Lepisosteus oculatus: one gene and its partner. Each later gene encodes a partner of the first gene's protein in a complex. Links are inferred from orthologs where the notes say so. Each region holds a gene or a part of one and is shown in the gene's direction. Other genes may lie near its edges.

The links.
Region 2: the proteins of arl1 (region 1) and arfip2b are in contact, whole or in part, in a crystal structure (PDB 4DCN), measured with the Homo sapiens proteins. The link is inferred for Lepisosteus oculatus from reciprocal best matches to the Homo sapiens genes ARL1 and ARFIP2. Residues at the interface, in NP_001168.1 of Homo sapiens: Glu17, Arg19, Gln38, Ile46, Ile49, Gly50, Phe51, Asn52, Val53, Glu54, Thr55, Gln64, Trp66, Ile74, Tyr77, Cys80, Tyr81; in NP_001363487.1 of Homo sapiens: Phe205, Thr212, Lys216, Thr217, Asp220, Asp278, Ile281, Lys282, Phe285, Leu286, Glu288, Asn289, Lys292.

The regions. Positions count from the first base shown.
Region 1 is NC_090702.1:54,564,189-54,571,923, reverse strand, and holds the start of arl1 (ADP-ribosylation factor-like protein 1), read left to right. Parts: upstream 1-4,455; 5' UTR 4,456-4,559; coding exon 4,560-4,563; intron 4,564-5,701; coding exon 5,702-5,839; intron 5,840-6,531; coding exon 6,532-6,613; intron 6,614-7,253; coding exon 7,254-7,365; intron 7,366-7,735. UniProt on the Homo sapiens protein: GTP-binding protein that recruits several effectors, such as golgins, arfaptins and Arf-GEFs to the trans-Golgi network, and modulates their functions at the Golgi complex.
Region 2 is NC_090700.1:16,365,395-16,372,482, reverse strand, and holds the start of arfip2b (arfaptin-2b), read left to right. Parts: upstream 1-3,807; 5' UTR 3,808-4,043; intron 4,044-7,088. UniProt on the Homo sapiens protein: Plays a role in constitutive metalloproteinase (MMP) secretion from the trans Golgi network. May have important functions during vesicle biogenesis at certain cargo subdomains, which could be predominantly utilized by secreted MMPs, such as MMP7 and MMP2.

The DNA.
Region 1 (7,735 bases):
AACCATAACAAAGATAGAAATCAGATGAGTCTGATTTTATGATAAAGTATTGTAGCACTTTCAGGTTCACATGGGTATGTGCCCTCACTGCTGCCATCTCAGGTCAGCCCTCCACCACTGGGGGCTTGAACCCGGGACCCCGGCATCACTCAATAGGGACCCAGCCAGCTGAGCTAAAGGTAGATCTCCCCTCAGCCTGGCAGCTGCGGTCCCTGCTATTCACAGGGAAAGGCGGTGCATCACCGCGCTGGTAAGCCAGCTCGCACAACCTAATGTTGCCCGTATGTGTTACAATACTGTATGTATTCAATTCAGTGTTCTATCCAGTAATATTAATACAAAGAGGGAAGACCATGTCTTCAGGGATGATGTTAAAGACCATATTGTTTGGCATGTTGGAGCCAGAAATGTTTGGATTAATCAAAACAGAAAAGCATTGTGAAAGTACTCCAAAATGTGTTTCAGTTGTACAGACAGAACATCATTTCTTGATGCAAAAAAACATCCCTAGGCGTAATTTGTTTGCTATAGATATGTTCCCAAAAAGGAATTAAAAAAGCCATTTGATTCAAATAGCTTAGGCAAAATCTATAGATATATTTGGCCTTGAGCTGGGAAGCTTTTAGATTCTTTGGGTCCTTTATTGCAGACTCTCAACTGGAGGATTTGTGTAGGAGCATGAATAAATTAAATAATAATAAATCATTATTTAAAAGATTTTAAAAACTATAGCTTTAATAAAAATGTGAGAGTATCTTCATGCATTCCTCTTCATAGTACTTTACACTTAGTTTAAACTACTGAGTGAGCTAGGTTTCATACAGACAGCAAGGGGCAGTTCTTGTCACGATTGTGATCCCTCCTCTTAAGGGCGCTCCGGTTCTTTCTTATTTTGCTAATTACGAGCACCTGCCCCCAATCCTGCCCCTCCATATTTAATCCTGGTGCTCTCGCGCCTCAAATGTTATTGTGGGTGGCTCTTGTAAAAAAAAAGCCTCATGAAACATGTATTTCAACATTTTATGCATTTAAGAAGTTGAGCTCGGCAATTAGCTTTCATCTATAAAATTTAAATAGAAAACTTGCTTTCTGTTTTAAAATGCGCATTTGAAAAATTATTGGATTTGGCACTGGGGAACTACAATCAATGAAACAGTTTCTTCCTCAGTAACAGTTCAAAATAGCCTCAGGGAAAACAGTAATTCTTTAAAATAACTGTTCACAAATTTTGTTTCCCTGTTGGTACTGTAGGTTTGCTCTTTGGATGGCAAGCATAACTTATTCTCAGAAAATTCAGAAGAGGAGCTAAGGAGAATTGTTTTGTGTGTGTTCAGATTCTTCTCCACTGCTGTGGGAAACATGAACCAGAGGACACAAGCGACAACTGTGTGGAAGTGTAGTCAATACTGAGAGCACTCCTTTACCCTAAGTGTTGTGGGAGTGTGGAGCAAGCTACCCAACTTTGTTATTGAAGCAGGTACCGTGGCTTCTCTCAACAAATAGCTGAATGAGATCTTTGGATCTTATTCAATACAAACTACCAGACAGGACAGCCGGGCTTGATGGCCTTTACTTATTTGTAAGCTCTCTTAGGTTCTTATGTTCTGTGTAAACATGAATCTCTTCAAATCTGTCACAGGAGGAGAGAGAATGAACACTAAGAAGAGCACAGTGAGCGTGTTTAAAATCATGTTTTGAGACCAAAGCATAAGCAGTTCACATTTGTATTTTAGAATTGAATACCCAATAACAAATAAACCTAAAATTAAGGTTCCAATATTCTTGCTGTAACTCTTTAGGGCAGTGTATGTTTTTTTTTAAGTTAAAGGCCATATATGTATTAATATTCATAAATCAAAATCTTTGAAAACTGTTACAACATTTGACGAAAGCAATAATAAAAAGGATTCACCCGGCTACTGACATTGTGATAAGTAAAAATAATTGAGGACAAAATATAACTTCTTCTGAACTTCTAGCAGTATGAAGCAATATTTGTGCTCACATCAGTATCGACAAGTTTTGTGAAAAAATATCCATCCATTTTTTGACTGTTTTATCCTGTACAGAGTCACGGGGGAGCCAGAGCCTGTCCTGGCAAGCAGTGGGCACGAGGCAGGGTACACCCTGGACAGAATGCCAGTCCATCACAGGACACACACTCTCACACACCCTGGACAGGTCACCAGTCCATCGCGGGACACACACACACTCACACACCCTGGATAAGACGCCAGTCCATTGCGGGACACACACACTCACACACCCTGGACAAGACGCCAGTCCATCGCGGGACACACATATACAGTGTAAGAAAACTGAAATAAAAAAAAGATGGTTATAATCATTTTGGTAGTCTGGTGAATACCTAAAAAATAAAGGGTAACAGATCATCTACAGAATTGTCAGTACTGATTGTGTTCAATCAGCATGAAAAGTGTGAGATGGTTGCTTTTCTTTAAATATTATACTGTATAAAATACAGTTCATTATTATTACTCATTAATATAAAACTGTAATGTTTTGGACTGCTTGTTTGTTCACAAGATTACAGAACAAAAGATAAAATAATCTATATTTTTCCTATCTCGATTTGTCTTTATTAACATTTTTCCCCAACAATATCATTTTCACACATGGACACATCTGGCACATGTCAAGCGATTTTCATCTTTCATGCCTCAGTCTTCTCTTTCCAGTTCAAGAGGCACCAGGCTGACTGCTGACTTTCTCACAAACCATCGCTCTGAATCTCTAGTCTGTGAGAGCAGAGCGTGTGGACAGCAACCTCAAGGCTGAAACTGTAATGTGAAGAATTTACAACTTTAAAAGGAAATGTAAAATATATGTCTTACCTTCACAACTAGCCCTTAAACCCCAAAAAAGAAAATAAAACAGATGAATCCTCTCATTTCACAAGGACTGTGATAGAGTGTAAGTGTTATGTAGCTGAATAGGTATCAATTTTCCTTTATACAGCTGAAATGAGGAAAGCATGCAGAACTTGATCTTTTTTAATCAAATGTCCACTGTGGGAAGTTATTGTATATAAAAGGTACTTGATGCTTCCTTAGGAACATACTGTAAGTTTAAGGAAAGGTACTGTAACTGCTGAAACCATGTAGTTAGTAAAATTCAAAATCTCTGAGACCATAATAATAATAATAATAATAATAATAATAATAATAATAATAATAATAATAATAATAATAATAATAATTATTAATAATAATAATAATAATAATAACAGCCTGACTATTGTGTAGTGTAACTCCATTCTGACCAAACATTAGTAACAATATCTGAAGAAAGTTTCCAACAGGAAAGTTTTCTTCTGTGACTCACAGAGAAGCCTTGTCAGTCTGCAAATACCACCACACAAAGGATGTCTAATGTAGTTTGAGTGATATGGTTTGGTTATGAAGGACAAATTATTGTACCAAAAATACCTCATTACCTGAAAAGCGCTATATAAGTGTATGGAATTATTATTTGTCTAATAAATACAGTATATATGTTCATGTAATAATATAGAATATACTGTATACAGTACGTGACAAATACATGATTTATGAGTTTTGCTTTTAGAAGAAGTTGAAATGTAGTGCACAAGTAATAATAACAGAAAAGCATATTTGTATTTAGTACAGAAGGTTAAATGATTTAAAAGTAACGTTAGATGCCACAGATCACAGACATCACTGAAATGGGGAAAAGTAACTAGAATAACAAGAAGAAAAAATCAGAGATGGACAACAGAACTGGATGAGTGGTTTCTCATTTATTTTTAGGTCATTTTTAATTTTTAATAGATTTTTACCAATAATTTCTAAGTTGTAGTTCAACATGTTTAAATTTATTAAGTCAATTTAGCTTGCAGGAGTTGAACTGCTACTTAATTCTAGTTGATGAAATGCTATATCATACCAGACATGGCATTGTACAAACGAGGATATTTCTACAAAGTCTACTTTGTACAAAAATATGTGCTGTGGATATCTGAAAACGCTGTTTTCTTATATATTTAATCAACAAGATTAGATACACCCAGTAAGACTGTGTCGAACTGAACAGTATGATTTCAAATAAGTGAAAATATGTGCACAAAATGTAACTTTACTGTAGCAAAATTGTAAAAGGACTTTGTTTAAATACAAGCAGGTGCGGTACTTCTGATACTTATTTCTGGTTGCATGGTCTTGATCACGTGTCCGAGGTACTTGTCATTTTGCCATGCGTTTACGGAAGTGAGTGTAAACCTTACAATGAGCAGCACTTTCCTTCAAATATCTTTCAATAATACAAAAAAAAATACACACGCCTATGCATAGTCAGAAACATAATAACTAAGGAATACAACTTGCGTCTACCGTAGAGTATTTAAACCTGTTTTAAGAACATCGTATTTTGAGGAACAGGTTCATGCATTTGTCGAATCTGGTCTCCTTAAGCGTTAGATAGCTGTGTTGCAGGTCAGTGACACGTCACTGTCTGCAGGGCACTGCTGGACAGGAGCATCACAACAGCAGCTGGAAATACAAACCTACAGCAAACAAGACATGGGTAAGCTGTCAGATAACTCTCCAATCGCAAATTGAAACGGGATGCGTGCAGTAAGGTTAGATCCACCGAATGAACGTTGTGCCGAGTAACGGATGTGTGCGTTTTTCAGTTACCAGGAAACGAAATGGTCGACTGCTGATCGATTCATATTCAGTGAGGGTTAGTCTGTTGCTTGGGAAGGGCCACTTAAAATCGTTACTCCTTCGACAGGTTCAGAAGAATGCGGCGGTTCCTGGGGTCTGTGGGTCAAATTAGTTTTCAGGTGTAAGGATAGGACTGACACTGTACCGTAGTATTAACACCAGATGCACGTTGGTTACTCCTACAGGTTTTGATATATGAGTAAGGTAGATTAAAGCAGTAAATAAACAGATAGATACTTTATTGATCCCGTGAGGGAAATTGCAGTGCAACAGCAGCTTTACTTTAAGCTGTTTAAACGTTCTTATTTCTAAGTTCAAATAAATGATTTAAAAAACAGTAGCAAAACAGCTGATGAGGCACCTACATAGTTCATCCTAGAGACGATTTTGTATTGTTTCGTGTTGTAATGGTAAATTTAAGAGCGTCTAAAAACATTTTGTTATTGTAGAAATACAATATCTGTAATTGTTTCGGATTAATGCCGATTTGTACGTGATTAAAAAGATTAGCAGAGATCACGATATGTTTTTTTTTTTACTGAAAGGATCTCTTAGAAGACTAGGAAACTATGGCTGACTGTGTGGGACTAATATTTGTATTACAGTTTACTGAAAATGTGGGTGTTGACTGTGAGTTAATACCGAAATCGTTGTCAGACGGAACAACCTCCATCCTTGCAAATGAAGCTGATTGTCAAGTGTTGGACTAGTGGGGAAAACGATGAGAAAATCTGATTTGTGTGTGTTATCCTAAAACTCGCCTTCTCTGGACAGTCTTCCCTTATTGTTGTCTGAGAGGCGGTTGTTTTGTTTTTGTGGAGTGGAAAATAAAAAAACTCAGGAGCTGAAATCCGCCTCAGGTGGGGGGGGGAACAGATCTGAAAATACACTGTGCTGCCCAAAGAAAACAAATGGTGCTGAGAGGAGCATGTGGTGATTGATTTCCTTTCAACATTAATCAACCTGATCGATTTCCTCTCTCCCTCTTGCTGAAGGTGGCTTCTTCTCCAGCCTGTTTTCCAGCCTGTTTGGGACCAGGGAGATGAGGATCTTGATCCTGGGGCTGGACGGAGCTGGGAAGACGACTATCCTGTACAGGCTGCAAGTGGGAGAGGTGGTGACAACGATTCCCAGTGAGTAGCCGAGCCGCCTGTCTGCTTGTTGTGCCTCGGAGGAAAGGTTTACTGCAGTCCGAGGAAGATTGCAGTGTCATGGGGCTCCTGGCACAGTAGCAGCCACACAAGCTTTTCCTCATCACCGTACACACACTGTATAGTCAGTGTTAGTTTCTGCCCATTCAGTTTCAGAATGAACAATTTTGTTCACTAGATCATGCCATGCACACAAATATACAGTTATACAAATGATCAGAGCAGTGGAACAAGTAATAGGTTTATTCCCTGCTGAAAAGAGAAGAAAGAAAACACAACGTTTCTTGAAGCTCTTCAGGCTTCTTATCTATTACAAATCATCTGCTATTTGTGATAGATAAGAGCTAAGATAAGATCACTTTATTGGCCATATGCAGTATCTTGCATTAGGAATTAGCTTGCTCTACATGAGACACACAGACAGGGAGAGAAGCTTGGGGTCAGAGCGCAGGGTCAGCCATTTATACGGCGCCCCTGGAGCAGTTGGGGTAAAGGGCCTCGCTCAGGGGCCCAATGGAGTAGGATTCCTCTGCCGGCTTTGGGATTTGAACCAGCAACCTTCCAGCCACAGGCGCAGATCCTGAGCCGCTCCGCCCCGGTGTTAATAGCTTTGTTCTGCCTGTCTGCGCAGCTGAAATAACTGCACATTTTTGATTCAATTTTTCTTTTACTAGCTATTGGTTTCAATGTCGAAACAGTAACGTATAAGAACCTTAAATTCCAAGTCTGGGACCTTGGAGGACAGACAAGTATAAGGTAAGTTACTTTTGATTTTGGCACCCGTACAGGAGAAAGAAAATGCTCATTCTATGTTAGGCATCACCTACAATCTTGGAGATTAATGTTTTTAAACTTGTGGAAGATGCTGAGGGGACATGTATTGTACAAATTAAAGACTTAAAACCACTCCTCGATGTACAGCATATTCATATAAAAATTCACGTGGGTAGCTGCATCAGCATGCGTAGGCTGCAAAGGAACAAGTAATAGGTTTATTCCATGCTGAAAAAAAGAAGAAAGAGAACATAACGTTTCGGCCGTGGAGCCTTCTTCAGGTGTCTTCCTCAGGCTCCACGGCCGAAACGTTGTGTTCTCTTTCTTCTTTTTTTCAGCATGGAATAAACCTATTACTTGTTCGTATAAAAATGTTCATCATACATTTTTGAATTTTACATGGAAAGTGTATTAGTTGTGTGAGAGCGGGAGTTCTCAAAATGCAATCAACAGTCGCAGGCATGCAAAAGAGAGGTTTTGGAGAGACAGAAGTCTTCTGCTGACTGTGTCTTACAACAAAGTCCACCACAGGTCACTGTAATGAGTTTTTTCTCCAGCAGAATGGCTTGAATTGGGTGGATTTGGTGTTTACTCATTCTTGTTGGCTGTCATCTGTCCTCAGACCGTACTGGCGCTGTTACTACTCCAACACGGATGCAGTGATTTATGTAGTCGACAGCAGCGACCGGGACAGAATGGGAATTTCCAAATCGGAGCTCGTGGCCATGTTGGAGGTATGGAAAGCAGTGGGAAAAAATCATGAGGTCATTCTCAAACTGAGCTCTTTCACTGTTGGTTTCCTTCCGATGTTTTTTCATTGTTTGTTCCACAGAGATGTCGTCTTAATTTGCTTTTGGTATTGGCCACAAAATCTTCTGCCTCAGGTTTCCCAGGCACCTGTCCGCAGCTGGAGAGCAGTTCCTGTCTTAATGCCTTTCTGTCCTTGGCTTCTTATCCTCCAGCATTTTCTAAGCCCTTTATCCAGGACAGGGTCGCAGGGGAGCTGGAGTGCGAGGCGGGAAACGCCCCGGATGGGACGCCAGTCCATCGCAGGACAGACTCGTTCACACTCGCACCCAGGGCAGATTTTCCCAGAAGCCAGTT
Region 2 (7,088 bases), on another chromosome or scaffold:
GGGGGGAACCAATTTGAATTTTATTTTCATTTAAGCTTAAAAAAACTTCACTGAAAAATACTTAAAAATAAAGGATTTGGCCTGACAAAAACAATTACTGTACTTATAGTCTCACCTCACCATCTCATTCTGTTTAATGCATCAGTCCACACATCTATTTCCCTCTTCAAATATAATTCAAGAACAAATAATAGAGACTAGAGACTACAAGATTAGATTATTTGATTACATTATTTTGATCTAGACTGATTAAGCTTTTCTTCCCTTAATTGGCATGAAAACTGATTCTACCAGCTGCTTTTCAATAAAAAAATGATAGTTTGTAATGCATAGTATTTATACTGTATTTAATTACCTATTTTTGGTCCCACTATAGAACCTTATCAACACCAGTTATCTGAGTGATTTCATAATGTTTTGATAGATTTAATAATCTGGTACTGTATCAAATCTAAAAATGAAACTTGCAAAAACTTTAGAACAAGAATACATTTGATATGGGTTTAATAATAACAATAATAAACTCTAGTACGATCTTAATCGAATCCCATTCTGTTTTACAGCTACAGCCCTTTATCTAAAAACATTTTTGAGAGACTAAAAAGTGAATAATTTGGGGGGATAGTTAAGCAGCAAAGGCATAAATGTGGAAAAATACAAATAAGGATCTCATTTGATGAAAAGTAAAAAAACAACATCCCTATTCCTTATTGTTTTTAAAGAAATGTCATTGTGATCTTAAATTAAGATTGTGTGTTCTATTATTCAAGGACACTTTAATCTTACAGAATATAGCAAAAAAAAACAGAAACATTAACATTAAAATATCCTTTACTATTTAGAAAAGATTTACAACAGTGATATTCCAAAATTTGGAACTTCTTTTGGAGAATACAGTCAAAAATACCTAAGCAAAAGAGACTCCAGGAAGTCTTAATCAACTGTTCATAATAATGAACTTGCTTACATCAAGATTTTTGGACATTTTTACTAGTGATAAAATACAGAAGCGTAAAAAATCTCTCAACATTTTCCTGAAGACTAGTAAATAACTGACACTATGAAAATTACAATATTATAGCATCAGCATAGTCAATCTGGAGTGTGTTGGGATGATATCAGAGAACGTTGGTGAACACTCTTTATCTTCATACAGTACTTCATACACTGCACCTTTCCACCCTGTGTCAGACTACCCACCATACAGCCCAAGCAAATCACTTCAACTTTCATATCATACTGATGTTAGAGCGAAATTTAGTAGGTAAGTTAATGTCCAGAAACTGCAGGATACTGTACAGTATATGCTCAGAAGACATTGTATGAAGGTTTCTTTTCTTCTTTTCTTTACAGTCCACCATACTGTAAAGTAAATAATTGAAAAATATATATTCCATAATAATACTTAATAATTGCTTACACTTATATAGCGCTTTTCTGGACACTGCACTCAAAGTGCTTTACAGGTAATGAGGACTCCCCTCCACCACCACCAATGTGTATCCCCCTCACCTGGATGATGCAACGGCAGCCATAGTGCGCCAGAATGCTCACCACACATCAGCTATCAGTGGGGAGGAGCACAGAGTAATCAAGTCAATTCAAAGATGGGGATTATTAGGAGGCCATGATTGGTAAGGGCCAATGGGAAATTTAGCCAGGACACCAGGGTTACACCCCTACTCTTTTAGAGAAACACCCTGGGATTTTTAATGACCACAGAGAGTCAGGACCTCAGTTTTACATCTCATCTGAAGGACGGCGCCTGTTTACAAAGTACAGTAGTATCCGTCACTATACTGAGGCATTAGGACTCACATAGACCACATGGTGAGCACCCCCTACTTGCCCCACTAGTTGTTCCCAGGAGGTCTCCCATCAAGGTACCGACCAGGCTCACACCTGCTTAGTTTCAGTGCGTTGCCAGTTGTGAGTTGCAGGGTGATATGGCTGCTTACTAAAAAAATATTCTAGAATAATTATTTTTCACCCAAGAATATGCTTTAACATTTTAATTCAGTATCATGTTGGAGAAGATTTGCATTTCCTTTAATGTTCTTTAGGCAATACCAATGTTGCTACTACAACAGCGTGGCCAGATTTGTGCGTACTGTATGTGCATGGAATTTGGTGTGTCGCCGTGCACAAACTATCAGTAACTTAATGAATTGATCACATCAACGCTGACAGTTTTGTCAAAAAACCCCAAGCAAGGTTCTTCTAACAAAACCACTATCATATGGAACAGGATGGCCTTGTGTTGTACCACTCTGTGGTACAGTTACCTGTAGATGTAGATCTGCATTAGCAGTCAGCACAATCGCAAATTTATCACGTAAAGAAACTGGGTAATGGGTTAGATTTAACAATCCAGTTCTCCAAAATCTGAACATTTCTCAATTCTTGAATTGTAGTGACACCTGCTGGCCGTAAGCTAATACAAAATTACGCATCTGAAGTAATAACGAAGCTCCTGTTCCCAGGGGACCTCTTTGATGTGTGCTGGTTTTTGTTCTAGCTAAGTTCCTAACCACAGCCTTAATTTGGATTTTTAAGTTATATTTATTTAGATTGCTTTTAACTTCTGATTGGGATTTTAATTAGTACGTTGATTTGACATCTGCATAATCATACTTCTAACCATGCTCTCTACGTTTTCAAGGTAAATATACTGAAGCGAATGTAATATAATTAACTATAATGACCTTAAGAACAATATCACGTGTGTCTAATTTAGAAACCGGGTACATTGTTAATAGGTTAATTGACTACTAGGGTCAACTAGAAGGCACAAGACCCTCCAGAAACTGGAATTTAAGAGCCCTGATCTCGCATATCTGAATCAAGGGAGTTTTGAACCTCAGAATTTCATTACATGTACTGTAATTAGACCACGTATATGCCCGAGAACGTAGGGAGAACGAAAACACTAGGACTAAGAAATCAGGAAATGAACTTGACACCATGTGTTAACTGAAATTTAACTTATTGGAGTTAGGCGAAAGAACAAAAATCAAATACACATCGTGGGAGTGTTTTTTATTTCCCATTTCCACTTATGTGGGTATATTATTAATTGTTCACCCCATTAAGAATGATTTTATTGAAAGGAATGGTCCAAGATACAGTATTTAAAACGAGTTTACAGTCTGGTTAATTTTTTAAAGGCTGAAGTGGCCGGTAAAACAGAAATAGCAGAACAACCACAAGCAGATAAATAACAATTGCGCTCCCGCACCTCTGTTCATTTCATTTATATCACCCGAATTTGTGTTAATGTTAAAGACGTCAATAAGATGAACAATGCAGAGGATAAAACACTTAAGAAACTTGAATGCTTTATTTCTAAGTGTTATCAATGAAATGCCAGCTTTTGCATGTTTATAGACTACATTTTCAAAATACCATTGTGCTTGAGTCTTTAAATATTATACTCGTTTAAAGCACATAATGTGCCCCTAACTTGTTTTTATTCAGATCTTTTTTTTAGTTGAATTTTAAAATCCGTCAAAACATTAACAAAAGAATAATTTTCGACATGCACAAGAAAAAAAAATAAGTTATTTTTTTTTACTTTATAAAGAACGTCCGTGACCCTGATTTGGATAAGCAGTTATTGAAATTATGTTTCTAAATTAGCGTTATGCGTTGCTTTAATGTAGATTATATTACTATGCATCCTTCACCAACATGGCAGCCAACTTGCTTCGAGGAGCGAGCCCGCAGCCTCGCGAGAGCTGTGGTTCTTCCACGCTGTCAATATTCCTCCGTGAGGGAGGGGTGAATGGAATCAGGTCGGCTGGTGTCGTCAGTTCCGCTCGGTGTCTTCAGGCAGAAGGGGGGCGAATAACAGCAACAAGAAGTCGGAGGTGGAGAGGGGGGGGCAGCTGGCCAGTCATGCAATAAAACAATATATAACAAGATACTAATTATTAACAGGTACTTTTGTACCTTTTCTATTATCGCCGCGTTGAGGAAAACAGCCGGAAACAATTGGCTTCCACCAGCTTGCCGTCTAATTCAGAAGACGGATTCACACACTGGTAAGAATAGCATTACTTTATATATATATAGCTCATCTGATTTTTTACAAGCTGCACTGAGCATGTTGGCAATGCAGGTCTTGGACGATTTGACACATTAAAGAGGTTGCAGTAACATATAAAGGTATTGCACATATAAAGGTGCTACTTGCACATCGGCTTTTTTTGTGGGCCTCTCCAGACTGACACCGAAACCTGGAATTGTGACCCTAGTTAAACTGGATCGTTGTGGTAGCAGAAAGACATGAATTCAGGTTGAGTTCCCAGAACAAAATTCACATATTTTGTCTCCTTTGCGCTGCAGTATGCATATGTAGGACGGCACTGGGCGCTCGTCCGTTACGTTAAATTCCCTGTAACTGTACAGCTCTGTTTAATGCTTCATTGAGAGAAACTGTATGGTGGATTTAAATCGCAAGGTACCATGGTTGCTACATGATTTTTTCACGCCCGGCTCGGTTTTGTTTCTGTTATCCACCTGCAGTTGCACTTACTGGAGCCGTGGTATCCGCTGAGCAAGGTGACAACGGACAAAGCGTTCTTGTTGTGCAAATATATACTAATTTCGCATCGAAAAACAAATCGACGAGTGACAGCTGTTTCAGAGCACAAAGGACTTAGGTATTTCTTGTATGCACAAGCGTTTTCTTTTTATTAGCTCAGACTTGATAGCACTTAGAATGCATAATGCTGGTAAAACAAGCACTATACTTTGAAGGCTTGTTGAATTCTTGAATTTCACCGGTCACTCGCATCTCGTGTCGAGTTACAAATGTGCGCCTGCCTATTGAGTGGCTGTCGTCCGAGGCCTGTTGTGCTTTTGTGGCGTTGGTGTGTTGGCGTTTTTGGTGTTGACAGTGTGAGAAACTCCTTCTTCGTGCTTGCACTGCAAGTTATCTGTTGAAATAATTTAGTCAGTCCTGAGAGGTTGCTAGTTGCACCTGAAAAATTAGGACACCATGTGCTGCACAGATCGGGCGGCGCTTGTTGATATAAGTTATATATTATAACCAAGCTTATTAATTTTCGTATCTCATGTTCTATGAACCAGGTAGTTTATACAGTGTACGTGAAGTGTGTTTGCGTTTCCTGTATAGAGACTTACCAAAAGCACTGGTAATTATGTGGTGATGTGGCCTTCAACTGGGATGGCTTTGCATGTTACATTTGCTGCCCGAAGACCGGTTTTGACGGTGACGCCGGTGAATTAAGTGACTATAAAGTCCCAAACTGGATTTTTTTTGTGTTGATGGTACCACTGAAATGATACAGTATAAATTCATACCCATCTAGTGATTGAAGGTGAATTTATACTTTTGACTTGCTTACCTATGCAGTATTCATACAGTACCTGCCCGTTTTCTCCTTCTTCAGCAGTTATCAATGTCTTTGATTTCTCTTTCCTTCAGTGATTTGAATACTTACTGTACATAACCCACTCTGGTCAGTGTAGGCTTATTTTGTACTTGTTTATTGAAACTTTTTCTCAGAGCACATTTCTCAGATCCACACCACTGTGTGTTAATTTGAAACTACTGTGGCTATACATTATACATTTTTACTTGGCCATAGGCACTCTAAAACACCTTCCTGAAGGTAGCAGTTGGAAATGGAATAAAGAGGATGGGAGGGGTCATCAATGATTAGCTGAACTTTCCTTTGAACAGCAGTATAATAAAGCTCTTAAAACTGTTTCTGTGGTTGACCAGTTATTTTACTAGCAATATTAACAATTCTGTCCAGTTTCTCTTTACTCTTAATGCTCAGGCTGCCATACCACACTGTGATAACAAAAGTAAGGATGCTTTCTACTAACATTTTATAAATCCTCTCTAAAACATTTTGACTCAACTAAAACCCTTTCAATTTCTTAAAAATGCAATTAGTATTTAATACAAAGTTTAAATGTTCATCTATTACTGTTCCTAGGTATTTGAAACACTGAACAACCATTATAGTTGAAAGCATTTACTGTCACAAGTTGCCAGTTATTTGATTATATCAACTTTGACCTTATTTATTTTTCCAAGTTTCCTGCCTAATACTAAATAGAAACATAAGTGTTTTTGTGATGTTTTTCATATTAAAAAAGAATATAACTATAATAGTTAATAATAATAATATTTTTATAGTTCTATCTATGTTAGGACTTAGACCTATATGAAGGTCATATACTGTATGTCTAAATATGTTAAACCATGACATTTTAAGGGGTGTACTTTTTCGTCATACTGTAAGTTATAACTACATACTGTAGGTTCGTTCATGTTGAATTCAGGATACAGCGCCTAGTTGTTTGTTTGACACTAACATTTGCAAGTAAAAGCACAACGATAGGTTTACAGTAGTTACAGTTTTGCTTCAGGCAGTTGTGCCTTGTGGTGTTTCATATTTGAGAACTGAAGGCACAAACCTGCTGGGGTACATTGTCACTCTTCATTGATCAGGTCACTTAAAGACTTCTTTGTGCCCAGTATTTAATCATTATTAGTGCTTCATGAGAAATGAGTGTAGGGGGTGGGGGTGGGGTTACCTAGAGGTAAAATGAATGGGAGTTTAAATTTGCTGGTGTAAGAGGAGTCAGTGACCCTCTTGCAGCAACCTCCTATGTCTCCTGATGTGTTGAGCAGGCGATTTCAAAGATCACAGACTCAGGCAACTTTATTTTAAACCTCCAGCACATAATGTAATATGTATGTCATAGGTCTGTGAATCTACAGGGGAATCTTCAGATCTTTGAGAACTTTAAAACTGCTGGGGGATTTCAAGTGTTACAAGAGTAACACTAATGAGAGGTTCAAGAGTGACACGGAGGGGAAGGAGGTGGGAAAGTGATGGAGAGGTCTGTGGTTTGGGAGGAAGTGAAAATAAAGGTTAGACTTTGAGAGGTTGGGTTTAATTTAATGAGAGTGCATCCTGGAAGAGAAGGCGGTGAGACAGGCCGTTATGGGTGGAAATCTGATGGTAAATGAGAAGAAAAGAGGAAGAACTGAGCATCACTAGCATACAAATTACAAAAAGCTGAGGGGCGAAATGAGAAGGGTC